Linked DNA regions of Caenorhabditis elegans. The protein of the gene in region 3 binds, or shares a complex with, the protein of the main gene of each other region. Each region holds a gene or a part of one and is shown on either strand. Other genes may lie near its edges.

Region 1 (9,703 bases), on a different chromosome or scaffold from region 3:
ACAACTATTCAACAATCAGTACCAGTTGAAGAGAAATCAGAAGATGATTGGAGTCAAGCTGAGCAGAAGGCTTTTGAAACCGCATTGCAGAAATATCCAAAGGGAACTGATGAAAGGTTAGCTTGGAAACTAGAAATGGGTATTTTGAAATTGAGAACGCTCATCCTCCAAGCGTTGGGTTTCGTTAGGTATTGACGGTAAAATTTCTGGGTCCCCATAATATAATATCCAGAGGAATGTTTTAAATATTAAATTTCAGGTGGGAAAGAATCTCCGAAGAAATTGGAAGCAAAACGAAGAAACAAGTGATGGTCAGATTCAAGCAATTGGCTGAGATGATTCGAAAAAAGAAAACCAATGATACCTAGTTTTGTCATAATATTTATTCCGTTTTTTTGTTGGTCGGGTTTGATGAAATTCCAAAATTTATTGTTTTAGACGCGTTTTAAATATTTATTTATTTATTAAATTTTTATTAATAAATTGATGATAATAAAAGAAAAAACATCAAAAATATCGACTAGAAACATGTCAATGTATTGGTAATTAATTGGAAAACAAAGAAACATAATATGAACATATAAAGCACCAAATTGAGCGGAGATTCCGAAAAACGATCGAACATGAAAGTAAGATTGGGGGGCAAGGCACGACAAGAGGACTAAATTGGGACCAAAATGATAATTTTAAAAAGACACCCGCAGATGTGAATAGTAAAGAATAAGGAACAAAAAATGGAAAATATTATAGCATTTGTCCGTGACGTCCCTGATTGTACTGATCTTGTGATGTATAACGGGATTGACTATCAGCGTATTGAGCATTTGGTTGACGGTCGGCACGGAGTTCTGCATGCTCAGTTGGTGGACGATTACGTTTGAAGAAACCACACTGAAAATTAGATTATTATTATTTATTTTCTGAGGGAAACTGTAAATTTGTTTCGAAATTGGTTGTATACTGTAGTCGCTCTGATCTACCTATATTCTACAGTACCCCCGACGTAAGCTCGCCGTGGACGTTGCTGTGAAATTTTCGAAAGCGTGTGAGCACAGCTTTAATGTCGTAGGCAACTTCTTTTAAATTCAGTTTTTCTTAATCTTTGTGACAATCATTTTTTACCTTTCGAAAATGGCAGAGTTTGAACCATAAACTTTTCTCGCGGCGAGGCCCATCCGAATAAATCAATGAGGCTTTGAGAAACCGCTTCACAAAATTGGAAATTAAGATATAATTTTTGCTGCGTCACAAGTAAGCATGAAAGTTGGCGAAAGAACTTTAATTTAACTTGCAAGCCAATATCTATGTTGTTATGTAATAAATCGTATTTTTGAAAATTAAATTTGAAACTCACCCTCCAGAGCAGTAAAATAAGAAGAATCAAAATGGCAAGTCCAATAAGAATAGCCAAAAGATAAAGCCACCAAGGAAGATCTCTTCCTTCTTCAGAAGCAATTGCATTCATATTTGTAGATACTGCTGTTATCAATGTTGGCTTATGTGGAAGATTGTATTTAGTAGATGTGACACGAGCAAGAGCCAACGATGAAATGTCTCCTCCAGGATTTTTCTCATCAACCAATGTGTTTGTGTATAATCTAGAGAAGATTTCCACAAGTACAAACTCGTCTTCTTTAAGATCATAAATATCACATTCAATATGTGTACATCTCAATGAATTACAATCAACAGATGCTCTTGATAGTGGTCCCTTATAATCAACAACTCCTCCAGCTTCCTTCGAAAGTTTAACAGCTTCACGAAGATCAGAGAATCTAGCCTTATCACTTCTTGGTTCACCACGGTGTTCTCCTCCCTTCTTCTTCTTCTTTGGTGTTGGATTTCTTTTAACTCTCTTACTTCCAGCTCTATCAAAATCTTCATCATCTTCCTCTTCAAAATCATCTCCATCATATTCCTGATCGTCTGGAATATATTCATAATCTCCCTTCTTCTTTTTATCCTCAACATATTGCCAATTTCCAGTATTCTGACGAATCTTCTCCTCGTCTTTTTCGTATACATGTACTGGACCAGATTGATGATGAGTTTGATGTTGTGTAGATTGATGACGTGTTGATTGGGATTGAGTTGTTGTTTCATCTTCATATGATTCATCATCTTCTTCTCTTGAATATTCATTTGGTGTCTTGGCAACTGGTGGTTCAGTTGGAACATGCTCATTTGTTATCTGAAATTTTAATTCGTTTTTAATGTGCGACAGTAATTTTTTGTGAACATTTATAAAATAAGATGTTCAGGATTCTGAATTGAAAAAAGTGAAGTTTGTCAGCCCGAACCGGAAAATCAATTTTTTTTGTGATATTTCAGCATATTCGATTGTTTCCAATATTTTTTTTTAACTCGCCGATTCTAAACATTTCAGAAACTGACGAAAACAATTCTTCAAAATTTCCCAAGAAATTTGAATTTTATCCTAAAAATGATAAAGTTTCTTACTTCTATTTCTAAAACAAAATAGTTCCTTCCGTATTTCACTGCAATTTTAAATGTACAGAGTTATAAAATTCAGTGTCTACAGAAATTGGGGATTTGCAACGACTATGAGATCGTGGCAAGACCCACTCAGAAAAACAGCGTGTACCTTTAAAGTAATGTCTAGAAATTTAAAAATTATTCAAACGTACCCTCAAATTCAATGGATTAACATTTTGCAGTTGTTTGACCCGACATCTTCCTTTATTTGGTGGATTAACAACTGGTTCTGTGATAATGTACAGAAGATGACCTCCTTCAGTGGAAAATGATGGCCAGAAGATATCCAAAGTAGCTGAGTCAACCTCAGATGGACCACGATTACTGATTTGATAAAGATGTGAAACAACTGGACCAATTTCATTGTCATCGAAAGCATCTACACGTGTTTTGTTCGTCATTGAGAAATCGACTTGTTCGGGATTTGATCTACCATTCAAACTCAATTGATTCTTAAAATCAACTGGAATAGTGAATGTGACTTTATTATCAGCAACAGTATGAGCTTCTTCATCATTACTACTGTTCACATGAGCATTAATACTGATTGGAGCAAGTGGAGGTTTATCAGAAGAAGCAGTCACTCTTACAACACTACTAACTACTTTGTTAGCTGGAAGTGGATTGCCGAGATCACATGCAAAAGTCCATTTTCCATCCGAATCTGGTTCATCGGAAGTTGGAGAACAAGCTGGAGCAGACTTGCTTCCATCTCCACCAACACTTTCAATTCCACCGTATTCGAATCCTTGTGGAACATCGAAATAAAGTTTTGTCTCATATGAATCTTCTCCTCCATTTTGAACTGTTACATTGATAAGCATTGTATTGTCTTGAGTTCCCAAAAGGAATTTCTCACGATCACTGAAAAAATATGTTTAAAAGAATTTAATTGCTGGCATTTGGTTTATAGGTTTAGGAATAATTATTTTAATGATATGATTTCACTGAAAATTTCGCCGATTCCGTGAAGAAAAGAAACATACAATCTTCGTGGAATTATTTTGACAGGAAAATCCTGAAGCAAACATTTTAAAAATGGCTGTGAACTTGTCTCATTATAAAAAATGTTTTGAAAATTGTCGAGTTAGGTTACATTGTATTTTGTGTTATATTCAATTTTTCTCGCTCATTTCCTTATATTTTTTTGAAAATTTTAAAATTAGAGTAATGATTAAAACATTTCGAGACAAACCCATTTTTTCAATAATTTTTCAAACTTACTGTAATGAGGATTTTCAATGTTTCCCTTTCTTTTATATTCAATGAAAAAATGGCATATTTAATGTATTTTTTCAACACTTTTTATCGATCATTTTGAAAATTAAAAAAACTTACGCAACAGCGGTAACCTTCAAATCAGGAACACAAAGATCATCTTTTCCACAATTATTTGCAATATTAATCTTATTTTGGAATGAAAGTGGTACAGTTGTGTCAATTGCTGGTTCAAGCTTATCACCACGAAGTTTTCCGGTTTTTGATTCAACATATGTGTAGTTGACGGACCAATGAATTGGGGAGAGCTTGTCTCTGAAATTATTTTATTTTTGATTTTTAGAAAACATTTTATTTTCTAATTTGAAGGTTTGCAAAGCATACGAACTATTTTACATTCAAAAATTAGCCTTGAACTTTTTTTCACAGCAGAGCAAACATTTTCTCAATTTTTTCTGATAAAAAAATTTAAAAAGTTGTGGTCATTTTGAGTTGAAAAACTTTGAAAGAAAATCAAAATATTTTCTCTGAAAACTCACTTCATTGTGGAAGAAGCAAAGAATCGATGTCTGAAACACTTTTGTCGTCCCTTCTCAAGACGAACACGTTGTTCGATTGAAGATGGATGGTCTCTTGTTTTAGATCCTTGTGCAACTTTAATGCTTCTGTCAGATTTCTGAAATATTATTATTGTGTTAAAAATTTTTATCTAGTTTTAAAAAAGTGACCTACCACATCTTTTTGCAAGAAATAAGCTCTTGGTTCAGGAGAATGATCATCAAGATTGAATCGAAGATCAAATTCCAAATCATTTGGTGTATCTCCTTTTCCTTCATATTTGAAACATGTATTAATATGTTTGCATGCCTGTTTTCCCAATTTTCCATCAACATCGCAATTCTTATCTTCTACACTGATCAATGCACTCTCTGGTTCAGTTTGTCCCGTGACAGTGACAACTGGTTTTGTGAGTAAAACAGCTGCATTTCCAGATTTCCATGCTCCAACTGCAATGTCTGGCATTCCATTTCCATCAACATCTTCGTTTCCAGTAAGGGAGAAGCCAAATGATTTGATATTTCCATGACCAATATTGGCTCCTTCGATCTTCTGAGTTGGTAGTTCGCGAACACCATCTTTGGATCCGTGGATCACATAAACAGCTCCTTGTTTGTTTTTTCCAGCATATGGTGCACCAACAATTACATCTGAAAAACACTATTTTGTAATTTAAAATTTCCAACAAAAAATGCAATAAATTTCCATAGCGGTTCAAATGAGATTGAAAGTTCAAAATGCCGCACAAATTTCCGATAATCTAGGATTTTTTATGTCTAAAGAAATTGTTAAATTAAGAAAAAGAAAAGTGAAAATACGAAAACTAAATTTGAATTTCCGCGTAAAATAATTTCTGTGAGAAATTCAAATTCGTTCATTTTTAGTAGCAAAATCCCTACCATTATAACCATCCAAATTCAAGTCTCCAGCTGCTGCGACTGCGTGTCCAAATCGTCCCCACTGATCATCTCCAACAACTGCAATCTGTTTTCCAAAGACTCCTGGAGCAGTTTGAAGCATCACAATGACCTTTCCGACATCGTATTGTGGTTTTCTTTCTTGTGTTTTTGCGTCTTTCACGCTACCGTAATCTGTGTAGAATGGGCAGCCCATGATAATGTCGTCGCGTCTGAAATTAATACAGAGAATATTTAGAGAATTGTAATTTTATGTGTTTGTGAATCTCACTTACCCATCTTTATTTACATCAGCAACTGCAACAGATCCTCCACAATATTGTCCATGTTGAGTTGACACCTCATCAGTCAAATTGATCATCATCTTCAGTTTCGACGTGTATAACACCAATTTTCCGTGCAAATCGTTTCCACGTGGAACTCCGGCAACAATATCATCAATACCATCTCCATCAAAATCTCCAGTTGCTGTAGAATATCCCATCATATCGTGATCGTATTCCTTGCTACCGTACTCGGTATTCGGGCGGTCTGTCTGATTTTTGATGTTCTGTGAGAACATTGCTCCTTGCCAATACCACACACCGGGGGCTCCAATAAAAACACGATTTTGATTCTTCTTTCCTGGAACTGCAGCCGAGAATCCGCACTGACCGTATCCAAGACGATGACGACCGTGGCGAGCAGCTGTAATTTTTCATCTAATTTTTTATAAAGTTACCAATTGTTCGAACTCTGAACTATTCCAAAAGGTTCAACAATTTTCAGATTTTTTTCAGGAGCCTCTAGAAGTTTCTAGAATTTTCCAAAAAAATCTCAAAATTTTAAGACGTTTTTAACAGTGTCTTGAGGGTTGCAGAAACTTTTCAAACTATTAAAATATTCCTGCAATTCCTCAAAATTTTCAGAAGTTTCTAGAACTTCCCAGAACTTTCTTTTCTCGAACTCCTTTTTCCAAAACTACAGTACCCCTGCAGTACCAATTAAGTATCCCCAAAACATACGTTCTTGTTTGCACGATGAAAACTCCTCCGCATTATCAAATCCATTTTCAGCATAGAAACAGGTTCCAACTGGCTCAATAACTTCGAATTTTGAGTAGAAATATGTGTATTTTGGAGCACACACCTGGAAATTTAATTTTTAATTTTCAAACTCCGCAGAATAAACCTACCACAATTTTATCATGCTTATCATTTGATCGAACAGTTGCACCAAAGAATTGATGTGATTTTTCTTCAATTGGAACAAGATGTGATCCATTGAGTTTCTTCAAGTTTCCCTTCATTTTATCCACGTGGACTTCTCGGCATGTTGCCCGGTTCACGGAGCAAGCATAAACTGCTCCAGGTCTTCGGATTCCAGCCAGGTTTGGGTTATTGCTTTCAGCTTCAGGGGCACCGACAACGAGGCTGAAATTTTTGAATGTAAAATCTGTTCAGTTAATTCAATAACTTACACAGGCATTCCCTTCTGCTCATGGTAAAAATCGAGTGAGTATCCAAAGTAGTTACCAGCCATGTGATGAACCACTACATTTTTTGTGTCGATGTTGAAGGTGGCAACTCCGGCTAAAAGGCCCAGTAAGCCTAGAAGCAAGCCGATCCTTCGCGGAAAACTACCCTCTCGCATCTACTGGAAATTTGGAATTCGGTTTTTTGAAAACAATCAGAAAGAAGTTTGCAACGAGTATACGGAAGATGAAACGATTTTAGAAGTTGATTGAATAGAAAAAAAATTTCAAAATCTCAAATTCAAAAGTTCCAAGAAATATTTTTGAAAGGGAAAATAAAGAACTTTGCTTGAATTTTAATTTTGGAACGTTTTTCATGTCTAAATGAATTAAATTCAAAGTAGCGACCAATTTCACTGAGATAATTTCAAATTCTCAGTTAACATGTGGATCAATGAAGCCTAATCGGTGTCTTTTCCAAAAACCGGAAGGAAGGAAAAATGGAATTGAACAGAGCACACGCGATTGCGAAACAAAGAACTGACCCTCCGAAGACGACAAGTCATTTATAATTGAGAAGGGAGCTCTACGAGCATTTGACACACTCACATTGAGTCATGAACATATCAAGAAATGAATTGAACGAACAGGAGAAGTGAGCGAACGGAAATTAACGGGGGAACAAAATGACCCGTGACACGTGGAGCAAGATTGATGAAGAAGCAAAGTAAGGAGCAATTCGAATTTTGCATAAATCTCAATATTTGTTGTGTATTGAGCGAGAGCCAACAACAATATTTTCTCAAATGCTCAATTGAACTATTTCAAAATGTTTTGACTGTTGAAAGTTGTTTGCTGGAACCTCTAGCTTTTGAGTTGTACTCATTCGAAAATCTTTAAAATTACCGGAGAACCCTCAAAATATTCAGAATATTGGCTGGACTACGAGTTAAAAATCAGAAATTCGAAGTTTGTGAAAAACGTACAAAAAGGAAATTCCGAAACAAAACTGGCATCTGGAGACTCATAGTTATCCCATGAATTTCCGAAAAATACGATGAGTCAAGAGTCGTTTGAAATAGAGAAGGGAGGAAGGGACACATAGTTTCTTCAGTTTCCGGATAGTTATCAAACATATGTCTAATGGTGAGAGAGTGTGAGAGACGAAGAGACGTAGACATTGATGGAAGCATGAATTGAGGATGAAATTGGGAGGATGGAAGGGGGCGGAGGAAGAGGCACCACTTATTTGGGGACACGAGAAGCAATTAGTTTGGAATCAAGTAGATATGCAGTTACTATTTTTGAAACACCAAAGAGATTTTCTAATATTTTGAAAAACTTGCAAAATTATTATAATAGTAGACGTTCAATCTGACCAGACCAAAATTTGATAATTGAATTCAATTTTTGAACCTACTTGGAATATCAGGGAAACTTCCTGCCAAAATTCGACAATAAGTTGCCACAGATTTTAAAGTTTTTAAAGTTTCAGTTTTCACAGTGAAATCTAGTTAATTCAAGTACATAAATATTGTGGTCAAAAACGTATTGCACCAATACTAATAGAACAAATACGGCACTTTCTCCAATATTTGTAGTATGTGTTTTAAAAATCACGCCTACTTGAAGCCCATCAGTATACGAACAACATTTTATATATTGGTGAAAAGTTCATGTAATAGAGAGTATTGGGATGTGGGCATGAAGTAATTGTCAGTAGAATCCAAGATATGGTTGACTGGTGACTGTTCCCTCTCCGACAAAAAGGTCATGTTTTGAATAGAGAGGAACAAGTGATAAATTGAGGGAACGGGGGGAGGATGAATTAATTGGGTGGTTAGGAGGAAAATGAATTTTTGGAAAAAAAAGATGTCGACAAGATTTAAGGGAAGTTAAATTAGGAGGTAGGTTTTGAAAAAAGAATCTTAAATTGATGGGTCATTTGTGAAAAGTAACGTTGACTAACTAAGCAACAAAAAAATCATAATCCCTTCTATAAAGATTAATAATCTTCATAATAGCTTTTCAACTAATACATGGTGAACATTACCGTTTCATTACAACCTAAAACAATTAAATATTTATTACCGATCATTCTTTTTGATTGTCAAGAATTGCAATCATAGGAAAGTCGAACATTTATAGAATTCAAATCGGCGACGCACAAAGGTATCAATGTTAAAACCAAGCATTTTACTATTATAATAAAGTACTTAATTGTGCGAATTATACGATCTTAGTCAATAAAACAATTTCCAGAAATTTCATTTCCAAATCCAGGAATAATAAATCAAAGAATCCCAAGAGCAGGTGGTGCAGGTGCTCATGGAGCACACTTTTTGAAGAAAGAATAGGGGTCTCGCCGTTGGTAGTGAATTCTCAATGATGCATTCGAGCGAGAACAATTTTTTTTGTTGAAAGAAGAATGTGAGACATTCGGTGAGACAGAGAATATTCAGAGTGTCGAAAATGAACAATATACTCTTTGCAGGAAAATTACTGAAGAAGCTGGGTGTTGGAATTTTTTAGATGGATTTATAATTTAGTATAGAAATGCCAAATTTTTGTCTGAAATCAGATAAGAGCTTGGTTTTTACACAATATTTTATTTGATTTTTGAAAAACATTTGATGATTACTTGATACTTTTTAATTCAGAAAACAGCGGGATAGCCTATTATTATTGGAAAAAAATGTCAAGAAGGGTTTGAATAATAGACGTAAATAAGGGCCTACGAAGAACCTTAAAACTTCAAGTTTTACGTATGATTTCTTCACTCAGAACTGAGCAAATTATGTTGTCGATTTATGTTGAGAACTGTTCGATTGTACAGTCCTCTAAAAAGATTCTCCTAAATAATTTTTTAAAAAGCTTTAATCCCCTGAGAAAAAAATCTACGAAGCTACGGTTACTGTAGCTATTGTGTTTTTTTTTTAAATAATGAGTTCCCACTTTTTGAGATTTCACAACTCGATATGCAAAATTGTAGAAAAATTCAATGAGATCAATATCAAAAATCATAAAAAGAAGAGAAAACGGAAAGTTGAGAGACTGGATA
Region 2 (9,193 bases), on a different chromosome or scaffold from region 3:
GACAATCTGATGATCTTCTAGTAACATTCATTGCGGAGCTTGAAAAAGAGAAGTTAGAAGCTCAAAGTGATTTGAAATATGCAATTGTGCATTTGGAGCAACGAATGAAAGAGGAACAGGAGACACAAATGCAAGCGATGAAAGAAGAAAGAGAAATTGAAATTGAGGAAATTGGATTGAAACATATGGAACAGATAAGGACAATTGAATCTGGAAATAGTGAGCAAACTGCCATGATGCAAGGAAAAATTGATTTCTTGCAGGTAGGAACTCTGAATATTCGATATTTTAGATTTTGCATTTAAAAAATCTAACATTCTGAAATACCACAACAGAAAAAAAATCTCAAAATAGTTAAAATATATGATTTGAATTTCCTCCACAGCGAGAACTGCGACCAATCAACGACTCGCTCCGCCCACGTTTGAACTAATCAGATAAAGTTTGTAACGTTCGAAGATTCTGGTTGGTTCGAAAGCGGGCGTGGCTTCTCGTTTTGGAGGGAATTAAAAACCAAAATTGTCAAATCACACTAAAAATTAATATTTGAAATTTTCCTCTATTTTCATCGTATTTATTCTGTCGTATTTCTGAATTTGAGTCTATTTTGGATATTTTTAAAGCAAAATAAAAACCCCCTGTTTATAACGATATTTGAATCATAAGATCAATTTTTTCAACTAATTTTTATTAAAGTATTAATTCTTCATAAAAACCATCTTCACCATTCCAGAGCGAAGTTTCAAATCTCCGTGATCTACGTGATTCAATATCAGCGGATCTCATTGATAGTCGCGAGAAACTCAAGGATCAAGCCGTCCTACTCGGCCAAAATCAAGCAAACATTGATGAGATGAGCAAAGAAATCGCGAGGCTTCAGGATTACAAGAGGAATTTTCAGGTAAGAAAAGGGATGTACGTATCATTCGTGAAAGTTGCTTGATTTGCTCTGACAAATTGTTTAACTTTAAAAAAAACGTACAAAACTAGTTTGAAAAATAAGAAACAATTCGATTCTAAATCGTGAAAAAACAAATTTATGGGCGAAGACTACATTCAGATATTTTTTGCTGTTGCTTGAAAATTTTGTTTCAAATTTCTTGATACTTCTTGAACATGTTTTCACATGATTTCAATCCGTTTGAAAACAAATTTTTAAATAACGGGATACAAACTTATTTGCTTTTTTTCTATCAAATTTATATTGCCGATATGTTTTGTACTATTGATTTTATATGGTTGAATAGAACAGATTAAGGATTCCTAGGTAGTTAGGTAGGTAGCTAGATAGCAGAACAGTGCCTGCCTGCCTTGTACCTACGTTTGCCTACTACCAGAAAAGATGGAAAATGACTATAATTTCCTGATTATTATTCCAGCGAGATATGCGAAACGTTGAGAATATGAGGAAAGAAGTTGAAAAATACAAGGAACTCAATGATATTGTGATGGGAGAATTTGAAAAACTGGAAAAAGAGCGAGATCAGTTGCTGATTGAAGTTGAACGAAACGTTGGAAGACTAGAAATCAGCAATCAACAAAAATTCGAAAAGCTCGAGGAACGCGGAAGAAGATTTTAAATGTTTATTCATCAGTTTTTATTATTCAATTTTTATAATATTTTTCAATTTTTCTCATACAATTATTATTAATCCATAGATATGAAAAGGCACATAAAACTTTTTTTCGATCCGGTATACTTGTCTTATTAAAACGAAAAATTATTTGGAAGAGGGGAAGGGGGGAAATGAGAAACAAGAAAAATGAAAGAAAACAAATATATATATTGAAATTTTGAAACGAAAAAGATGGAATTGGAGCCTAAAATTAAAATTCTTTGGTTTGCAAAAGATTATAGAAATTTAAATATCTAAGCCCATCCTCCTGTAAGTTTGTGGAAAAGTTCTTCATCAAGATTTTGAGAATGTTCTTTGCTTCGCATTGACAGGAAAATGTATCCACCGATGAACTCGTGAACGACTTTGCAATCAGCGGAAAGTGGCTTGAATTCGATATCCTCATCTTCGAATTGAATCTGGAAATTGGGGAGATAGGATGATAAAATAGTATACTCAAAGAAAAAAAGTAATTAATTTCAAAAAGTTTGTTCTCGGTTATTTTCGGGTTTATCTAAGCCTTTTATGTAGGCACAAAACAGATTTTAAAAATTTATTTCTAAAACGCTCAAGGTGCAACGCTGGCATGTAGGCAAATAGGCATGAAGTCTGCCTACCTTCCTGTCAGCACCAAGTTTACCGAAAAAGTTTCGGTCTTTGAGAACATTATCTGATTTAGATTTTAAATTACCAAAGACCTGAATTTTTTAGTAAGTTACGGCGAATAGACTTATGGATAGAAAACAACAATTGAATCAAAAACGCAATATTATAATTTTTGAAACAATACAAAGATTTTTTGAAAGCCAATTGTTCTTTGTGTTTAGATATACATATTAGGAAAGATTTTGAGATGAAAACGTAATTTCAAGACATCACAAAATAGATTAACAATCAGAAAGTTGTTACAAGAAACTTAGATGAATAGGTCTCGAAAACGTTCTCAACATTTTGCAATTTTTCGATTTCCGATCATGTCCAGATCTTAAATATTTTATTCATCAAAAACTAACCTTGAGATGTCGAATTTCCCAGTTGACATGCCACTTCTTCATATTTGCAAACCTCCATGTCTTCAGACTTTCTCCATTATCCATATTCAATTTTGCAAGTCTATTCACAGCAACAGCCACCAATTCCGCCTTTCTAGCATTTCGGAATCTTACAATGAAATAATGAATTCCGTGTTCGGGAAGTGCTTGCCATGCTCGGATATATTGAAGTTTCGCTTCGGTTGCCGTGAGTTGTCGAACATTTCCATGAGCATCTGATACTCGCTGTTGAATTTGTTGCTTGCTGCGTGCTCGTCGTACGTATTTCGACGATATGTACTCATCAACATTGAAATCATTTGGTAGTTTTACAGCGGCGGCTTTTCGCGAAGCTGTGTTGCTGTTTCCGTTTTCGTTTCCATTACCTGAAAAATTGTTTCATTCGAAGAAAATAATTTCATTATCACTTATTAAATTGTAAAATCAACAACTTACCACTTTGCATCTTGAGCAAGTTTTTGATGCTCTCCACCTCCTGTTGATATGACGAATCAGCCATTGACTTCCCTCTGGATGCTAACCGACACGCAGCCATCCACCTGGCATATTGATGCTCGGAATCGCATTTCAAAATGAAGTCAATCATTCCTTCAGCAGTTGGAAGTAACAATTTGATATGATACTTCTGCTGTCCAACTGAAACATCCTGACTAACTTCACATCCCTTCAATGAGAAGTGTCCAAGTGGAGCTGAGTTGACATCTGAGGAGCTTTGATGATATGATAAATATAAGTCACGGAACGAGAAGAATGCCCGTTTAAATCCTTTGAATGCTGCCAATTTCTTTGGTTTCATATATTTCAAATAATCTGCTAACTCGGGAACTTGTGTAAGATCTGATCGTCTGTTAAGAGCAGCTGCGTCAAGGTTTTGCTCAAGCTCGTCCAAAAGAATATCCACATCATCTTTATTATTTTCTTCAGGTTCAGGAGAATCTCTTTGCAGGGTTGCTTGAAGTTGAAGAGCAGCAAATAGTGTGGCTTCTTCCTCTGTGTGATCGAATTCATCAAGTAAAATGCTCCATTTTGCTTGCTCGTAAAGTTGATTAATTCTCACTGGATCATATTTTGGATTCAAATCAAAGAAATTCATAAATTTGAATCGTAGTAAAATAATATCTCCTTCAAAAATTCCTTGTTCCATAAGTGATCTGCTAGAATCAAGCCATCCTCTATTAATCGCAGCTTTTTCCACATAGTTCTGAGGTCTAAATACTGGAGTATCACGGCTTGGAGCAAGTCTTGGTGAATGAATAAGAGCATCATCAAATTGCTCATTTTCAAGTCCTTCACTAAAACTGATGCTTGGCATAATTGGTGTTCTTCTCATCGTATCGTTATATGCTCCTGGCGATGGACTGACACCACGTGGCAATGTTCCGTGGCGAGGAAGAGTTCCCATTTCGTGAGCATTGAAAATGTGTCCAGATTGGGAGAGCGCGGGTGATTGACCACGACGGCGCATATCAAGATTCGATTGAGAAGCAAAGATTGGAGCAGCTTTACGGAGAGTCATTGGTCCAACTGATTCTTCTCCTGGACGCATTGAGAGTGGACCGTTCATGTTGTCGGCGTCAGATGTTCCACGTCGAAGATCCTCTGGTGGAATATATCTGTAATATTTTAAATTATATGATTTTGAATTATTGGGTTATTTCACATGCTCGGTAGTAGTTAACTTTTGACCTTGCTCAAACTTTTGGGGCAGGATTTCGATCAGGCATAGATTTTCCCTAGTTGCTTAAGATTCCCAAGGATCTTCAATCCTCGTTCAACCAACTAAGGAATTTCACAACTCCATTCTTATTTAAATTAAAAATAAAACATCAAAAACTTCCCAATTCCTACTTACCTCTTCAAAGACAATTCCTCTGAATATCGAATACCCAAATCACGGCACAATTTCTTTGTTGCTTTGAATGAATTTACCGAGAAATCAACTCTCGCATCAATCATTTGCATATCTGGTAACTGAATTCTTGCTTCTTTATGCATTGGTGTGAACTCCAATTGTGTTTCAGCTGTAATTCCATTCTGGTCAAGAGTCGATCGAGTATGTTGAAGCCATCGCCGCTTCTCCGGCCACCACAGAGCATGATCAGACCAATCTCGTTCAACATCTGGAAAAATAGAAATATTTGGAGTTTTTTAGATTCTTGTTTCAATACAGCTGTTTTGTAAATTGTTTGTTCAGCTGAAGCCCAAATGATTACATTTTGAACTTGGAAATTAAACACATTGAGCACACAAATTGTTATACCCTAATGCAGAAAATCTTCATCCCTTCAGCTTCTGCAAGTTCTAAAAATCGCGCGAAAACTTAATTCCAAAACGTTTTTATGCGCCTCTCCTATGCGCCCTTTCTGCTCTTGGTCATGATGAATGCCAGTTGCTTCTCAAGTTTTGATACTCTCTCCTGGGACCCCCTATCATTGTGTGCTCTTATATCTCTGCAAGGAAAGCCTCTAAACTTTATGTACCCAACAGCGAATGTCCCATCCGAAACAATCAGCTTATGTAGATGCGCACGCGTGCACTCGAATAGTCAACATTAACAGGGGTTAGGATGAAAAGAAAAAGAAGAAAGAGAAGAGCAACTGGTAGGAGATGAGAAGAGCCCATAAATATTTGATAGGTTCCGCATAGTTTCTATGATGTTTCAAAATGTATAGAGGACTTCTTGTCAACTATTTCGGAGCTCACAGTCCCTAAAAAATTTCGTGAAGATCTCTCAAAAATTAACTTTTTAATTAAACTGTTTTATTCAAAATACGAATTTTCAGCAAACTTGAAAGAATTGTACGAGAAATTTTTCACTTGGCGCACTCTTCAAGGGCTCCGTTACGATGTGTTTCCAAAAGTGTTCCCTATCTTTCCAGAACATTTTTTTCCAGCAGATTTCAACATTTTCCCATGCCTTCAATTTTTACTGATATTGAACATCATTTCGTAATGGTGCACACACCACGTATCTTTTCGTTGTAACAAACGCGTAGGCGCACACAGTGGCAGATATATCTAACAGATTATATTGAGTAGAAAAGAGAGAAATCATGGTCTATTGAGATCTTTGAGATCTTGACCGAGGTGATAAGATTCGAAAAAAAAACTCACCGCATTCGCTAACAAGTTCGAGCATGAGTCCTCCCACATTAAGATTTCCAAGGACAGAGATGCTTCTGGAAGAAATAAATACATTTATTGGAAATTGGAAGACTCTGAGTTTGAAAATGTCTCATTCATGTTTGGAAAAAAATTTAACCGGAATCTTCTGAAAATTTAGGCTAGGGTTTAGGGTAAGGCTTAAACTTAAGCTTAAGCTTAAACTTAGGCTAGGCTTCGGCGTAGACTTAGGCTTATTCTTATAGTTAGTCGTAGACTTAGACTTAGGCTTGGGCCTAGGATTGGTTTAGGCTTAACCTCAATCCGAGAATAACTCAATTATCACTTATTCTGACAAAATGACTTGAATTCAGAAAATGTGCATTGAATCTTTTTCTATAACTTCCTGCAATTGCAGTTATTTAAGAACAACTGCTAAACATGCAGTACTATTGAAAGTTAATATTTTCTAAATATATAATTTTAAATCCTCACCTTTGAATATTCAAATCGGTGACCAAAATTGGCAATTGCCATTTTCCATCAATAATCGAGGTTCCTTCAACAAGATGTGCCATGTTTGAAGTGATTTAGGTAGAACCACTGAGATATTTTAGTTGTTGGAAAGATTAGCAAATTATAGAAACAGTGTATTTTCTCCGTCCACGGTAGATAGAATAGAAAACAAAAAAAACCGCTTAACAACAATCAACAAATCAATAAAAAAGCTATGTGTGGGAGAATATCAGGTAGAGAGGAACGTGTATACAGAATAAAATAAACGAAAAAAGAGGCTAGAGAACATTGAAGAATGAGAGAATGAGAGAAAAGACTGCCGATGCGGACGAACAAACGGACGGCCGGAGCAGTACACACTCTTCGTCTCTGACTCACAGCAACACCGTCTCTCCGCTTCTTTTCTCACTCTCTATCTCTCTGACTCCCTATCTGTATGTTCCAAAATGCAATGAGAGAGCGAGAGAGAGTGAACAGTTGTAGAAGAGACGGAGAGTTGAAGGACACTCGGCAGGCGGCTACGCGGGAATGGGAAGGAATGACAGTAGGCGATGCTGCTGTAGATGAAGGAAAAGAAGAAGACAACATTACACAAAGAGTCCCGTCCCCCGGCTGGCAGAAAGATTTGGCAGAAGAAGGAGGAGGAAGATGCCAGGAAGCAGCTTCTGAAGGGACATTGGACATGAGAGAGAGAGAGTAAAAGTATAGGATATCACGGGTAGTTGGGTATGAATGGAGAAGTGCAATGAAATGGAGAAAGGTGTATACTAGTTTCTGAATTAGAATATCTGGATAATGTGAACATTTGTGAACAATGTGAACTACGTAGATCAATGGGACACTCTAACACCACGTGTGAAGTTCATACTGTGAACACTTGGTAACCTCGTCTTTTATGGTGCAATTGATAAAAGTTCAGATTTTCCACAAAAGTAACTATCCTTTACAGTATATTAGAAATGGTAGTGAAATTTCAATATGCGCTGACACAAAATGCTAACTTCTTGTCCAAGTCTGGCTCAAAAGAAATATAAACTTGGTACAAAAGTTGCTTATAAAGCGTATGCAAATTTTTTTGGCGGCGTTAAAAATCAAACTTTTTGACCTAATCGTTTTTTGAATCGTTTTAAAGTTATATAAGACATTAACAAGAGTTGGATCAAACTTGAAATAAGCTCAGAAATTTTTTGGACGAAGAATTTGAGCACTGTGTATACGGGAACACAAAACTCTGAGAATGCATAGTGCGCAAAATATCTCGTAGCGAGAACTATATTAATACTTAAAATGACTACTGTAGCGCTTTAGTCGATTTACGGATTTTTGAAATGATTTTCTTTTCGAATAGTGACATCGATATTCATTTTTCTTCGTTTCCTCGTATTAGTTTTTAATTTTCGGCTTAATTTCAATATTCAATCGATAAATCAATGTTTCCGAAATTTAAATCGAAATTTAAAGATGTTAAAGAATTACTGTAGTTTTCCCTACGGGATATTTTTTGTGTCAAGGAATAACCTTGTAGCCATTTAAATCAAACTGATATTTTCAGCTATCACTTAACGTTTCTTTGTTTTTATATCCTATGCAGTATTTCTCGGCACGGCACGACATGTTGTCGCGCGCGACTGACAAAAAAATTAATTGATGACTACGGTAGATTGCGAAGTACGCAGAGGCTTTTGCGTACTTCGCCATAACTTTACGAGCAATTGTTTTCATTGTTTTTCAACAATTGCAATCTTATTTTTGAACTTTTTACTCTGTTTTCTTTAGTTTTTTTGGCCAATATTCGATTTATTTGTTTGAAAATTTATATTAAACGTTGAACATCACGTAAAACTTTTATTTGTGTCGGGTTTCTCCGTGAAAAATTGTACTTCATGATAAAAATAACTTTTAATAGTTTTCAGAGCTAAAGTTCGGCATTTTCCTATGTTTCTGTGTTATAAAATCTTGTTCAAAACAGAGAATTATCAAAAAAAAAATCCCGAAAAAATAGTGGATATTAAAAAAAAATCCGTAGAGTCAGACAATTAAAAAAAATAATTTCCTCGCATTTTCTTCAGTGCCTCTTAAATCATCGAGCAAATTGAAGAAAATGGGCCCAATAACTTCACGAATAAGAATTTTCCTTCCCATTAGAACTATCCGTTTTTCAGTGAAGTGCATATAACTCCAAAATTTCGCATTATCCTTTTAAAAAAAACCAACACAAATTCTACAAATGTTCGAAGAAACGGTTTTTTTTCATCTATTTTCATTCCTGCGCTTAATTTTTGTCATTTTTCTGAAAAAAAAAACCGAAAATCTGGTTTCCTCTATGCTTGCAGGCTTATTTCTATTTTAATCCATATTTTCATTGCCAAAATTAATTTGAAATTTATTCAGATCGCATTATAATGAACCCGAAAAACAAATCATCAACAATCATTTCGAAAAACGTCGAGGAGCTGCTTCCGACACTATTCCCCATCACAGAAGTTCGAAGTTTCGGAAAAAAGTGTCGCAGTATCGAAATTTCGAAATCCTATTTAATCAACAGAGCTCTCGTCTCAAATCTAGACATCGAGCCGGACGAGCCAATTGTGAGGATTCGAGGATTATTGGCATTTCATCATGAACTTCAAGAAGATTCTCGAAATGTGAACTTTCTATTCACATACGGATGTGTCTGTTTGGATGCTCGAGGGACTGGAAATAATCCTGGAAGATTTGTCCGAAGAAGCTGCTTTCCGAATAGTTATCTTAGTTATGAAAGAAACAATACAGAATTCCATATAATTATCAAAGCAAGAGACTTCATTCCATATGGACATGAGATTACTATCGATTTTAATGACGATTTCTTTCCTTTGAATTGTTCATTAAAATGTACTGTGCACTTGGAGGATTCTGAGAATTGTC
Region 3 (7,045 bases):
ATATTGTTTTCTATCACAAAAAATTTCCAAGCTCAACTCCACAGAGGAAAAACTTCACTCACTAACTTAAGTGATCTCGCCTCCAATTCCATTATCCCATTGAATTAATTCACCGCAAACAACAATGTGCACATCCACTCATCCCGTCTGACACATATCAGTCATTCATTAGAGCCCCCTCTCACACCTCGTCTCGCCGAAATTGAAATGTTACAATCCACGGAAACTTTGAATGCCTAACCACATTATCCTCTGAATATTTCACTTTTCAATGCGTGCGAACCAAAATGCGAATATCTATACTTTTTGAACTTTTATTTATTATCTTTTTTTGTTGCGATCCAATCAACGCGGCGCCAGTCTCGCTATCAAGTCTATGGACACTTGGTAAGCAAACTTTTTGTTTTGAGAACTTTTGCACCTAGGGAAACTTTTTTTTCAAAAATTGAAAAGAGGGGATACAACTGTCCTTTTTTATTTGCACAGTCCGTCTTTTTTCCGCTAAAAGTGCTTATTATCTGTCCACTTTTTTGGAGGAAGAATTGAGGGGATTTTTGATGACGACGAAATTGTTTGTGTAGAAATGAGGGAAAAAGGTTGGCAAAAATCATGTAAAACTGAAAGATTGCTGAAAGTGTAGTCAGTAATACAATAAGGCAAACATATTCTGACAGTTTTGCACCTTAATTTGCGATTTCGTGGGTTATTGTACCTTAAAATTGTCGACAAATTCGGCAAATTGCTGGTTTGCCGATTTGCCAGCAATTTTCATTTTGGAAAACTTGCCGATTTGCCATTTGCCGGAGTGTTTAGAGAGATTTTTTATAAGACGGAACAACTTAAAACTGCCTTTTTGGAAATTTGTTTTCGTTTTCTTTAGATATTTACATAAATAGAATTTACTGAATTTCGAGACAAAATGTGCAAAGCCAAAATTTGCCGAAAATTTTATTTTTCAAAAAATTCACTTTTTTTTCGTTTTCCTGAACTTTGCCGATTTGCGGGGAACTTTAATTTTCGGCAATTTTCCGTTTCGCCGTTTTCCGAGAAAAAAAATTATTTGCGGCCCACCCCTGGTGTGTAATGTATGCATGCGACAATTTCCTAACGCGCTAACAATTGCCTTTACATTAGTTTACAACTCTTCCCGGTTATAGATCTCATTCATCCTGTTGCGTTTGTTGGGTGGCCCCCTCCTCATTGGGATATGTTTGCCTGCTTTTTTAGTTTAAGTGTGTCTGTATTTTTTTCAAAATGCTTTGTGTTATGGTTTTGTTTGGGCTTAAAAACTTTTTTTTTCGAAAATTGCTAAATTATTTTTGCCATTTTTAAAAAAATTTTATTCACTTTCATATATTTACTCACTGTACTCAAAAAATCATATTTTTTCTCTTGAAAATTTTGTGTTTGTTCCAATTGTTTTTTCCTCTAATTAACTCCCAATTTTTTTCACCAGCTTTCCCCAAAAGATTTGCACTTTTAGATGCAAGAAGTATAGGGATAGTGCGAAAATCAGCAAACAATTCTCCCAGCTCTCCACCAATTTTCCACTCTTTTTCCTCGCCGCTTTTCACCTTTTAACCTACTACCCCCATTCCAAGCAGCTACCGTTCCTCCCTTAAATCGGCTTGAAGACTGTCCAATTGTTGTGTCAATATTTGTGGGGGTACTTTTATATAATCGGAAGGTTTCGACAGTTTTCGCCACCTTCTTTGGTGAGGTGGCGATATCAGTGATTATAAAAGGTATGGGAAAATGAAATATATATAGTCAAAGCTATAACCTCTGGGAGATGATTCTTCCTCTATTTATAAACACTTGAGGATGTGAAAATCGGACGGAAAAGACGAGCCACCAATATGAGGTTTGATGATCGGGGAACTCTCGTCGAGTGATGAGATGACGACGACCTGTGTATGTCGGAAAAGATTTGGGGATATTTTGTTTGGACAGGATATATGATGGTTTGGGCGGGTATTGCAACAAAAACTCTTTTTGCCAAATGAAATCAAAAGTGCACGCGGGCCGGAGCAACTTGAAAAAGGCGAAGCTTTGTACATGGTTTTCACCGCCTTCCTAGAAAAATCCTAGAATTCAGAAATTTGCAATATAGAGTTGTTTTGAATTGAAATTCATGAATTGATCACGAAGTGGCTAGGTTTATTGTATGTACAAAAGTCTTTCGATAAGACTATGGTAGCACACTCAAATGCACTTGACGTGAAACGCCAGGTACTGTGGATTCACTCTGTATCAAGAGAGTGGCCGACAAATTTTATTTTTGGCAGTTGCCAAAATTGAAAATTTTAGGAAAATTGTGGTTTTGCAACTATGTATTCATGCAACATCAACATATTTTATATGTTCTGTTGAATTTTTGTACTTTTCTGGAAATTATGTAGTTTTACATAAAATGAGGACTGCTAGATTTGAAGCTTAAACACACTGGAATTGCTTTAGAAAGTATACATGAGAACTGTATGATTTGGTTACTGTCAGCTAATGGCCAGAAACGCATTAGAATTGGAAATATTTTCTCAAACACCAATGCTACCAAATTTTCTAGCTCTTTTCAAACTTGCACCCCCAATAGCGGCAACCGCGTCTAATATAATAACAATAAGCAAGAAACATGCGAATCTATATTATATATTATGAGACGGTTATATACCATGATACTCCGTCCAACGTGGTGCATGACAAGCTATTCAAGTATGTGAGTGTGTGAGTGAGTGTGAGTGTGTGTGATGTGTTTATGCTAGTTGCGAGACGCGCAGGCGCAACAAGAGAGGCGGCTCTAAAATGCAAATATTTACCTGAGTCAGGAAAGAAATTCAGTTAGAGAAGAAGGAGGGTGGAAGCTTCTCCTAAAAAAGTGGGCGGGGCCTAAGAAGTTGCAACTGTGCCGCTGTGCCTCGCCGCCGCCGACGGTCAGCGCGCGCCTCTGTCTAGCAACCTTCTATCTCCTTACTTTCTTTTTTTAAAACTGACCTACTGCTCATTTATACCCCCCGTCAACTAGTTAGGGGGGATGGCGTTTTCGCTGTTCTCCGTCGTTTCACTGACGGTCATCTACCGGTTGACCATCAACTTTCCCGAACTACCGTACACTCAGGAGTTGAAGAACGTTGAGAGCGATGAGTTCGTGAGCACATCTAGAGATATAGCTCATTCTATTCAAGAGTTGGTCAAGGATCTAGAAGGAAGGCATACAGCTAAGGTTGCCGATTATAAGTGAGTTTTGAGTGAAAAAGGTTATCGACAATTTTGGGCGTTTTTCACTTTTCAAGAAATTCTAAAATTGCTCCCCTAATTTCCACATATTTACTTTTTTGCGGAATCTTAAAATTACAAAATGTCCATCAGTCCGTAATCCAAACCCGTAACTGTTGCCCGTGGGCCATAACCCAGAGTCCGTAATCCGCAAGTTCGGAGACCCGGGTTCCAAAATTGGGAGTCCGGAGTGCAGAGCCCGGAGTCCATCGTCCGGAGAACGGAACCCGAAGCCCGAGGTCCGAAGTCCGAGGTCCGGAGTCCGCGGTCATTCAAAATTCAACAATACTAATTTAGAAGGCATACTTCTGCAGCTTAATTTTAAAAAGTATATATTAAAGTTTTCAAATAATTCTTCCAAATTCCAATGTCATGTTTTCTGATAATTCTTAACAAAAAAAAAACGGTCGCTTCCTCCCACGAGAGAAAGTCAACAATAGAGTATTTTGTGTAAATACATGCGTATGTATGTACATGTGTGTGTACCTATATGTTGTTGTAACTTCCAGATATCACAAAATCATTGGATCTCTTGTCTACGTGGATTTGTACGCTGAAAAAGAGTCACCACTGGTGTCTGATGTGTTGTTGTCCGCGATAAAGTCTGGAAAAATTGGGAACCTTACGGTTTCCGATGAGGGTTTTGAGCTTCATGTTGTAAGAGGTGTGTTGTTGTGTGTTGTTGTGTGTTGTTTTATATGTTAAAATTATTCAGTCGCCTGAAAAATCTTACTTTACCAAAAATTGCAGACTCGTCAATAGCCTGCGCCACCACAGAATTCACATGCCTTGACAAGTCATGCATCCCGGCGGATCAACGTTGTGATGGAAGACGCAACTGTCCAGATGGATCAGATGAGCACAAGGAGCATGGAAAATGCAAGCAGCATCAACCAATCATCCATCAAACTGAGAAAGTTGTCTTCGCTCAGAAACATGGATCCATCCATCTCTCGGCTTCAATTGATAGTTCGGTAGAGGATAATAAGGTTCGTATACACTTTATTTGATTATAAAAAAGTGTCTACATGATTGGAGGCTATGCTTAATTTTCTAATTCCAAGCTATGTTGATAATTAAAAAAAAAGTTTCTTAATTGACTTTTGAATTGAGGTAATGCTCCGAAAAATCTTTTAATATTGTGTAAAACTATTGATTATTCCAGATTGCTTGGTCCAAAGACAGCGTTCTTCTTGGAGTTGGCTCGATGACCTTGGCAGAAGACGGGCGTGTGACGGTTTACAAAAAAGGAGACAAACATCATCTTCATATCATCAACGCCACCGACGCAGATGATGGAACTTATAAAATGATTGTGCAAGGAATAAATGTGGAGGCTGATTTTGAGGTAAGCGTTGGAAAGTGATTCAGGAAATTTGAGAAAAATATTAAGAAAGGGGTTTCCATATATGCTATCATTGATGGTTTGAAACTTCCTTTAAAATTTTAAATTTCCAAAAATATTGGCAAAACTGTAACTGAGAGGTTCAACGACTATTATATTTGCACATGAATTTTTTGGTCCATTTTTTAAAAAATTTTTCTTCTCCGATTTGCATATTTTGATACATTGTGTTTCAACTTAAAGGACTTCAAACAAGTGAAAATATGTTTGAAAATTTCTAAAATCAAAATTTTTCATTATTCCGAAACCGATCAGAACCAATTTCCATTTACAGTATTTTTAGCTATTCATAAAATGTTCAATTTCAGGTCCGCATCACCTCCGACCGTGTCGCCACCGAATCCGACGAATGCCCAAGCGGGGAGCGTGCCTGTAAATCTGGACATTGCCTTCCAGTCGCCCAATTCTGTGATCGCCGAGTTCAATGCCCAGATGGTGATGACGAGGAACATTGCTCTGGTAGGGGGCCTCTTAGTCATAAAATACATTGAACATTTCGTTATAATAGGTGCTAGATACTACCTCGCTCCTTAGAATGTAATAATTGATGTTTTTCATTGTGAGAAAAATACTAGTACCAAAAAATGGAAGATAGATCAATGACTCATTTCCAATAATTTTTAGTTGAAAAGCAGCCAGTAGACCCGGTTATTCCAACAAGGTGAGAGGGGACGAAAAGAGCACACACACACATGTGTGTGTGTGTGCTCGGAGAAACAATAGTTAAACATTTGACCAGCACACTTGTTTTGTTTTTCGCACACTTGTAGGAGAAAATGCTCAAGGAAAAATTGAAAAATTGTGCTCCGTGCTTGAGAAAATCTTTCGTCGACTTGACTTATTACAGAAGTGCAATGCAAATCGAATGAGTTCCGATGCGAGTCCACAAATGTTTGTGTGCCAACTGTCGTCGTCTGTGACGGATGGAAAGATTGCCATGATGGTTCTGATGAAAAGGTAAGGGGTTGGGGAATTTTAAATTCAACAAAGTTGTACTGTGAAACTACAGTAGGGAAATCGTAGGGATACATTGGACCCACAAAAAGACCGCATTTTTGCAATACAGTAGTATTCCAGAGCCTGTATGGATACTCTATAAGATATTACTGTAGATGCACTAAATAATTCAGGAATGGGCGGCAATTGCTGTTCGGCAAATCTGGCAAATCGGCAAATTGCCGGATTGCCGATTTGCCAGAAAAATCGTTTGCCGCACACTCCTGATAAAAGGTGCCTTTATTGCATTTTTTTAGACAATTGGGATTACTCCAGGAGTTTTCAAAGGCAATCTTTAATTTCAAGTTCCTTTAAATTTCAATTTTCCAGAAATGCTCCCATCCACGCAAGACCTACAAACCTCATCATGTCCACCACGTAAAGGTCAACGCAGTTTGCCAAGATGGCTCGGAGCCCGAGTTCAGTCTTCACGGCTCGAGTTATTGCTGGTCCAACAAGGTGTGCCCAGCCATGACCGAATGTGTGGCTGGACTGTGTTGCTCCATTTCTAGTTAGTTTATTCTTTATTTACAAATATATTGAACCAGAATTTATTTGGCAAATCAAATATTAATTACTCTTCTCCTTTTTGCTCTTTTCCAGGCTCTTAAGCCTATCAACTTCCATAGCGGTATTTGCATGGAACCATCCCAAGCTGATAATTAATAAGAATGGCCACCTGAAATTCATTTTAGTATTCATTAAACTAATGGTTTCTCACCTAAACGTAATAGTCTCTTCTATCAAAAATCTTTGCACAAATGCCGCTCCAACATCTGAACCTCCAAGGAAGTAAAAGTTGGAGTACAGGCCGATGGCAAATGGCAGAATGTGGCACCACGCCAAGATTCTACGGAACGCCACGTCAGATAGATTAGCCTCCCGCCACTTTCGAACACTTTCAATTGTGTAGATCGCCTTGGATCCCATCTCGATGAACAAGGCCAAGATGTTCAATCCTATCCAGACCTAGAAAAGATGGAATAGAGTTGTGATAATTACTCGCGTAATTAGATGGATAGATCTTGACATTTTCAAGTGATCTTGATCTAAATATAACGCTCTAATTAGTTTACGTCTATGGAATATTTACTGGAGGTGTCAGAAAGTATTCTAGTTTATCTCATGAATATTACTTTCAATGCAACAAAAAACTAAAGACCTGCCTACTTCTTGCCTACGTGTCTGACTAGCTCAATTTACCTCAATTTCGGTGTCACACCATCGTTCTGCTTCTTAAGAAAATTTAACTTTAACTCACAATGTTGTGATGATAGAATCCGTGCCAAAGAAGCACAAAACCGTACGAGATAAAAACTCCGAAAATTTTTCGTGGCAACGAAAATGTTGGAGCACAGATCGGGATGAAAA
Region 4 (6,003 bases), on a different chromosome or scaffold from region 3:
AAACTTCTTGGGCAAATCCGACCAAATGATTTTAGACCAATGAATCACTATAGCTTGGCAAAGGTAAATTTAATTTCCCTCTGACAACTTTTTTCCAAAAACTTATTTTTCAAGGAAACATCGTTCCGAATCATTAGATTTGATGCACCACTGATTTTCGCAAACGTTGAGAAGTTTCTCGATAACGTTCGCGATTCGACATCAGCCACCACAAAAAAGAGAAGCGCGAGTTGCGATTCCCAAGAGGATATTGAGTGGAGTGCAATCATTCTTGACTGCCACACTTGGATTTATACGGATTCTATGGGGATTGCTGCGGTGAAGCAAATTAATGAAGAATTACGACAAATTCGTATACTCCTGTTGTTTGCAAATCTGAAGTGTGAGTTTAAAATTTTTAAACAATTATAACCTTAGCTGGGATATTTCAGCATCACTCCGACGACAATATGGAAATGCTGGCCTGATTGGAGAAGGGAATATTGGAAGAAATCAAATGTATCCCTCCATTCAAGATGCGCTGGATTCTGCTCACGAATTAATTAAAAATCATAAAATGTTTTTTGATTGCGAGAAAAGTATGCCGCCAGAAAAGATTGTGCCTTAGAATACATAGATCATTATTTATCAGTTTTATCAATTGATCAACTTGTTAATCATATGGGTCATAATATGTGTAATTATTGGGTCAATATTTGAAATTTTTGTTAAACTTGCTCATGCTTCAAGTTTTCAATAAAGTTACCGTAAATTGAGGTTTGATTTTAGATTTTTAAACTAATTAGATATTTGTCAATAAATAAAATTTGGAAAAAGATGGAATAACATCTATGGATTCTTTGGTCTCAATGACTGGAAAAAAGTTGCACTATAATAAGCACAACAGTTTAAAAAATCATTGAATTTTTCTGAATTTTTTAATTAATTGTTAAATTTTGCAACAAAAAAAAATAGAAAGTATTGAATTATTTTCCCATACCCGCGTAACTAAATTACCTAATTTTGATATGTTTGTTTTTTACAGTTGTGTCAGTTTTTTGTCCTTTTTTGTGATTTTTGAGTAATAACAGAATCTTACAAAATTTTAGACTTTTCCACAAAAAAAAACCAAAAAAAAAATTGATAAAAAAGAAGAATTTTGTTGGAAATTCTTCAAATAATCGATAATTGAAAATTTATTTTTTAACGAAATTAACTTCTTGGAAACTGAATTTTTTTTGTCATTTTGAATTTAAAAAAAAATCATCGACTCTATTTCATCTTTATGTAAAATGATCAAACAGAGTTTGCTGAGCAAAAAAACGATGAAAGTCGTTTTTTGTTGGAATAGCCCAATTTTTCTTTCACATTTTGAAGCTTCAACAAATAAATTCCCAAGAGAATTTCAAGTGCAATACGATCATTTCTACTGGCTCATTCGTATTTTTAGAAATTTCACAAACATTTTGACACTGGAAAGTATAATTCTCACTTAACACGTTTCAAGTTGAACCAAAAATATCTCTCCGGGCGCTATGGACTCACCTTCCTGTTGATCACTGATTACAAATTGATTGTTGATGCCGAAAAAAAGGATTCAATATTACAATACGATTTTGTTTCAATACAGTCAATATTTTTTTTCTGAACAAAAAAATAGTACAAAAATTCAGAAATCAAGTTATGCAATAATGACACCCGAGAAAAGATGCAAAGTTTTTGCGGATAGGAACACAAAAAATTTGGTCGAAAGTTATGATTGTTTTCAGAAGGCTTCTGAATCAAAAAGTAGCTGGGAAAGGGAAGGGGAAGGACAATTATGGAGCTAGAAATGAGTACAATGACATTTTTGTGTGACCGAAAAATAGTTTTGAAATATAAGGCATTTAAAAGACAAAACGGATTGATAACAATTTTCACGATGTTTTTTTTTAGCACCAAGGTATTAAAAACAATGGGAAAGAGAAATGAGCAATGGCATTTGGAAAGTATTACTTCTTTAATGGAAATTGATGAATTACGGGGACTCCTTTATTTCTTTCTTTTTTATTATTTTGGTCCAGGACTCATCGATCTTCTTTGATTTTCAACGTCGCGGTCCTTTAAGCTTTCTGAGATGCGCTTTTTCAATTCTGTGGGGAACCGATCGTAACATCGTTTGCATGTTGGTTTCATATCGAATTCATAGAATTTCGTTCTGCAATGCATACATTAATTTGTTTTCATCAAGTTCATATGAATAGTTTTGCACTCACTTCTGATCAAGTTTCTTATCACAAAAACTGCAGGAGAAACATTTGACACACCACGTTTTCTGAAGAGCTTGGAATACTTCCCCGCAACATGGATCTCCGCATTTGAAACAAAGATTTCCGAATAACTGCAACAAACTTATTAATGTTTGCTTGTTCATATTTCAAGTACCTTGTGGAAGTGCTGTTCGCAATATGGAAGTCCCTTTCTCTCGTAGTGACGATGTCCCAAGAATGGCTTCTCACAGACGGAACAGACAAAGTGCTCCACGTGCCAGTGCTTGCCGAGTGCCGCGATGACACGCTCTTCAATCGGCCTGTGACATGCTCCACAAATTGGGATACCCATGGTATCGTGGCATCTGAGACAGTAGAGCTCTCCGTTTACTTCACGAGAAGCTGTCGTTAATTCATTGCTGAAAATTTTTTAAATTCAACTCATACTGTAAAACAAGATAAATTCTTACTTGCAACGTTTGCACTTAAAGTGATAAGGATGGAATGAATCTCCACGGAATTTGATGTGTTGTCCATCATCAATCATTGCGTGGCATTTGTGGCACACATATCGTCCATGACCTGCTGCCTTTTCCCGTTCGTTACATTCGCGACAGAGAGCTCTGAAAATTGAAATTCTTTCGAGCTTCGTTTACGCTCTCCAACTTACCGTCCAGCGTTCCGTAAAAATCCGACATCGGCCAACTGTTTATTGCAAATCTCACAACAGAAACATCCCGGATGCCAGCTGGCATTCATTGCTTTAATCACTCGTCCAACGATGAACTCGTCTAGAATATAAAACATTTATGGCTCTGCGTGTCTTCTCAAAGATACTTACTGCATTTTCCACAACATGGTGAGAACAGAACATGGAAGTCATGCTCGCAGTACTTTCGTCCTTCATACTCAAAGTAGATGCCGTCTGGGAATGGCTCAAAGCATTGAGCACATCTAAAAATTTTTTTGCAATTTTTGAGTTCTCTTAATTCTAACTTATAAAAACTTACACAAAACACTCCGAATGCCATACTTGCCCGGAAGAGTTCACCATCTGATCTTGCATCGAAAAACCATCATTACAACGGACGCACACCATGTTCTCGAAGCCATGGGCGAGATCCCCGTTGATATGGTTGTGGTCGGAATCCATTCCGCCACACACCATCTATTATTGAACCACTGAAAGTTGGCCACTATGCACACAGGATGGTTTAACGACCATGGGTTTGTAAGGAAAAAGGTGGGGGTAGGAAAGAAGAAAAGAAAGCGAGCGAGTAATATGAAGACAAATATGTACAAACAAGGGAAAGCCGGAGAAAGCATATAGTGTGTATAGGTTAGGTATGTTGGTTAATCGAAAAGAGCACAAAAAGTCAGAATTTCATATCTACATTTTGTTATATGCAAAGTAAATTTTTGCATAAACACAGAAATTTCCATATTCTAAGAATCGTAAAAACACTGGAGGTATTATACGAGGGGGCTGTGAAACAGTAGAAAAGAAGAAATCCTCAAGGAAGAGGCAAATGTGCCAAAGGTATAGGATGCGACGGGTTGACATATGTGTAAGAAGAACTCGGAGGCGGTGGCGTGGAAGCTTTTGCCATTGCATTTTGTGTAAAGAATGAAAACGAACCAAGAGATAGAGATATAAGTGAACAACAAAAGTATGTGTGTGAGTGCTGCTGCACAACAGATTCAACAGGATGCCTCAGCTTCCCTGACTAACTCACAGAGGGAGACGTGTATCCGATGTGTTGATGATCAGTATTGATTGGGAACAGAAAAAAGATTCTTCAGAAACATCGGTTGGGATATCGTGTGTTTAAATGGGAAAAAATTCGAACTAGTTATTTCGATTTTTTTTTGACTTTCTATGTACTACTCTACATAACAAAATTCAGTGAAGCGGCACATTTCACGCTTCAAAATGTGATACATGTATTACACCAGATGTTTTGAGATGCAACGGAGGAAAGCAACAATGCTTCTTTTGTGGTGTTTGCATTTAAAAATAAAACTAGTTGTAAAAATGAAACCAAAAATTCAATACAACTTCTATACGGCTAAACTATAAAGTTTTGAATTATATTTAAACATAGTAATAGTTATAAACAACACCTTAAAAATGATAATAGTTGTTGAAAATCAACTTTCCTCACACAGTGATATGGGCATTTACTGGGCAAAAAGAAAGTGCGCAGAATGTACAACTAAAAAGAGTGGAAGAAAGCGAGAGGCAATGCGCGCGCGGCGGGTTGGCCGACAGCCAAGCGGGGGGTCACAGACTACGGCCGCAGACGTAACGACTCCGGGAAGAGTGCGCGATTCGAAGAGACGCATACAATCGGGTTGCGTGCGTAGGGTCACATTAATAGCCAAGTATTGCTGCTCGTTGATACTCGGAACAGGCAGGAACAAGCTTTTTCTAACACATGTTTATAGACAGTTGTGAGAATAAGAAAGGATCATCAGTTTAGATATGAGAAATCAAAAGACATGGTTGAAAAGTACGAACCCCGCAAATGTTGGCAGATAAATGTTCAGTATCTGACCTTCGTTTGTGTTTTTATATTCTTACGACTGGCCTTGATCATGAGCTAGTATCATATATCAGGATGACAAAAATCCAGAAATTGTAGCTTGAAAACAATGACTAACTTTGAAATGATGACATTATAGAATGAGGTCCTCTGCCAGTAGAAATGCCTCCACCTGCCAAACAGCTGTGCGCAGTGTTGAGAAATACCACCGCTTTTTCTAGAAGATCGTAAACCGATAACAGAGGTTTTTGGACCGACTTTTTTCGGAGCAGTGTATAAATTCTAAACTGAGTATTTTATTACACAAATCTATAAGTTTCAAAGTGAGTTTCTACAAAATGAACCAGTGTGGCATGTTCTCAAAATTTTTTAATTGAAACTCAGTGATATCGAAAAATCTTTAGCTTGTCTAAAAATATTTTTAATTTCAGTTGGAACAATTTAAAAAGTGCTCACAATTAATCCGAAAGTTAAAACATCAAATGAAAAATCTTTCAAAAATGTCCTATTTTCCCAACTAAAAAAATCTTATTTTCAGAGAAAGTAAGTAGTTTTCCATATTCTGAATTTCCATAAAAAAGTTTGTGAGCACATGCCAAACTGGCTCATTTTATAAAATAGTTGGTCTACAGTTGCCACGAATGTCTGGTGTTCATCATCCACATTTGAAAATGTTAGAAAAATATTTGTGTAGATCACAATTTTTCAATTTCCTTTTCTTGAAGTTTTTCGTTTCATAGTTTTATAGCATCTTCCTGTTAGTGAAAACTAGCTTGAAAGGGAAAACTAAACATTGAATTGTCTACACAAACTTTTTAAAATTTCTTTTAAAAAAATCAAATATGGATACTGGACACGGATCAAAACCGTTTCAAAAAAAATATGTGTGAAAAATATCATGCGCACTAAAAGGAGCACTTTCAGCAGTTCCATTCGACTTTTTTTTTTGATATATTACTTTTATTCATAAAACAAGACAAGGGATTCAAGAGATCAGATAATTTTTAATGTTCAGCACATTTGATTAAAAAATGACAGAAATGAAATATGACAACAATAGTAATGCATCAGCGTTGAATTGGAATAATAGGATAAAATTGAAAGAAACAAAAAGAATCACACAGACAGGGAGGGGAGCCGGAGCAGATCAAGATGATGTACTATCGTCTTTTTCAGCACGATCTTCTTTTTCATTTCCTGCCCAAAGTGGTTTGACCAGTGCGGAAAGA

Evidence for each region.
Region 1: unc-52 (region 3) and pat-2 share a complex: the UniProt entries of both Caenorhabditis elegans proteins name them as parts of the integrin containing attachment complex.
Region 2: unc-52 (region 3) and unc-112 share a complex: the UniProt entries of both Caenorhabditis elegans proteins name them as parts of the integrin containing attachment complex.
Region 4: unc-52 (region 3) and unc-97 share a complex: the UniProt entries of both Caenorhabditis elegans proteins name them as parts of the integrin containing attachment complex.

The regions. Positions count from the first base shown.
Region 1 is NC_003281.10:8,816,020-8,825,722, reverse strand, and holds pat-2 (Integrin alpha pat-2), read right to left. Parts: upstream 6,825-9,703; 5' UTR 6,822-6,824; coding exon 6,649-6,821; intron 6,602-6,648; coding exon 6,364-6,601; intron 6,318-6,363; coding exon 6,194-6,317; intron 5,877-6,193; coding exon 5,465-5,876; intron 5,402-5,464; coding exon 5,172-5,401; intron 4,923-5,171; coding exon 4,447-4,922; intron 4,391-4,446; coding exon 4,254-4,390; intron 4,162-4,253; exon of another isoform or gene 4,070-4,161; intron 4,030-4,069; coding exon 3,835-4,029; intron 3,361-3,834; coding exon 2,649-3,360; intron 2,192-2,648; coding exon 1,355-2,191; intron 892-1,354; coding exon 745-891; 3' UTR 449-744; downstream 1-448. Other genes in the region: F54F2.9 (DnaJ homolog subfamily C member 1), read left to right, coding at 1-116, 260-368. UniProt on the Caenorhabditis elegans protein: Required for muscle development probably through the regulation of the actin-myosin cytoskeleton. Component of an integrin containing attachment complex, which is required for muscle maintenance.
Region 2 is NC_003283.11:14,690,282-14,699,474, forward strand, and holds unc-112 (Protein unc-112), read right to left. Parts: upstream 6,374-9,193; 5' UTR 6,349-6,373; coding exon 6,266-6,348; intron 5,848-6,265; coding exon 5,783-5,847; intron 4,789-5,782; coding exon 4,521-4,788; intron 4,282-4,520; coding exon 3,104-4,281; intron 3,034-3,103; coding exon 2,630-3,033; intron 2,036-2,629; coding exon 1,871-2,035; 3' UTR 1,581-1,870; downstream 1-1,580. Other genes in the region: gasr-8 (uncharacterized protein), read left to right, coding at 1-263, 734-901, 1,380-1,580; set-5 (SET domain-containing protein), read left to right, coding at 8,689-9,193. UniProt on the Caenorhabditis elegans protein: Component of an integrin containing attachment complex, which is required for muscle development and maintenance. Probable regulator of cell-extracellular matrix adhesion. Required during initial muscle assembly to form dense bodies and M-lines.
Region 3 is NC_003280.10:14,680,283-14,687,327, reverse strand, and holds the start of unc-52 (Basement membrane-specific heparan sulfate proteoglycan core protein), read left to right. Parts: upstream 1-2,871; 5' UTR 2,872-3,031; coding exon 3,032-3,234; intron 3,235-3,782; coding exon 3,783-3,937; intron 3,938-4,023; coding exon 4,024-4,262; intron 4,263-4,438; coding exon 4,439-4,621; intron 4,622-4,986; coding exon 4,987-5,137; intron 5,138-5,525; coding exon 5,526-5,635; intron 5,636-6,004; coding exon 6,005-6,185; exon of another isoform or gene 6,186-6,244; coding exon of another isoform or gene 6,245-6,353; intron 6,354-6,395; coding exon of another isoform or gene 6,396-6,643; intron 6,644-6,935; coding exon of another isoform or gene 6,936-7,045. Other genes in the region: hhat-1 (Protein-cysteine N-palmitoyltransferase HHAT), read right to left, coding at 6,245-6,353, 6,396-6,643, 6,936-7,045. UniProt on the Caenorhabditis elegans protein: Component of an integrin containing attachment complex, which is required for muscle development and maintenance. Probable structural role in myofilament assembly and/or attachment of the myofilament lattice to the cell membrane.
Region 4 is NC_003284.9:5,590,540-5,596,542, reverse strand, and holds unc-97 (LIM domain-containing protein unc-97), read right to left. Parts: upstream 3,411-6,003; 5' UTR 3,382-3,410; coding exon 3,239-3,381; intron 3,183-3,238; coding exon 3,070-3,182; intron 3,020-3,069; coding exon 2,899-3,019; intron 2,852-2,898; coding exon 2,699-2,851; intron 2,648-2,698; coding exon 2,404-2,647; intron 2,360-2,403; coding exon 2,235-2,359; intron 2,177-2,234; coding exon 2,029-2,176; 3' UTR 1,578-2,028; downstream 1-1,577. Other genes in the region: sulp-2 (STAS domain-containing protein), read left to right, coding at 1-63, 115-382, 432-607. UniProt on the Caenorhabditis elegans protein: Component of an integrin containing attachment complex, which is required for muscle development and maintenance. Probably function in adherens junction.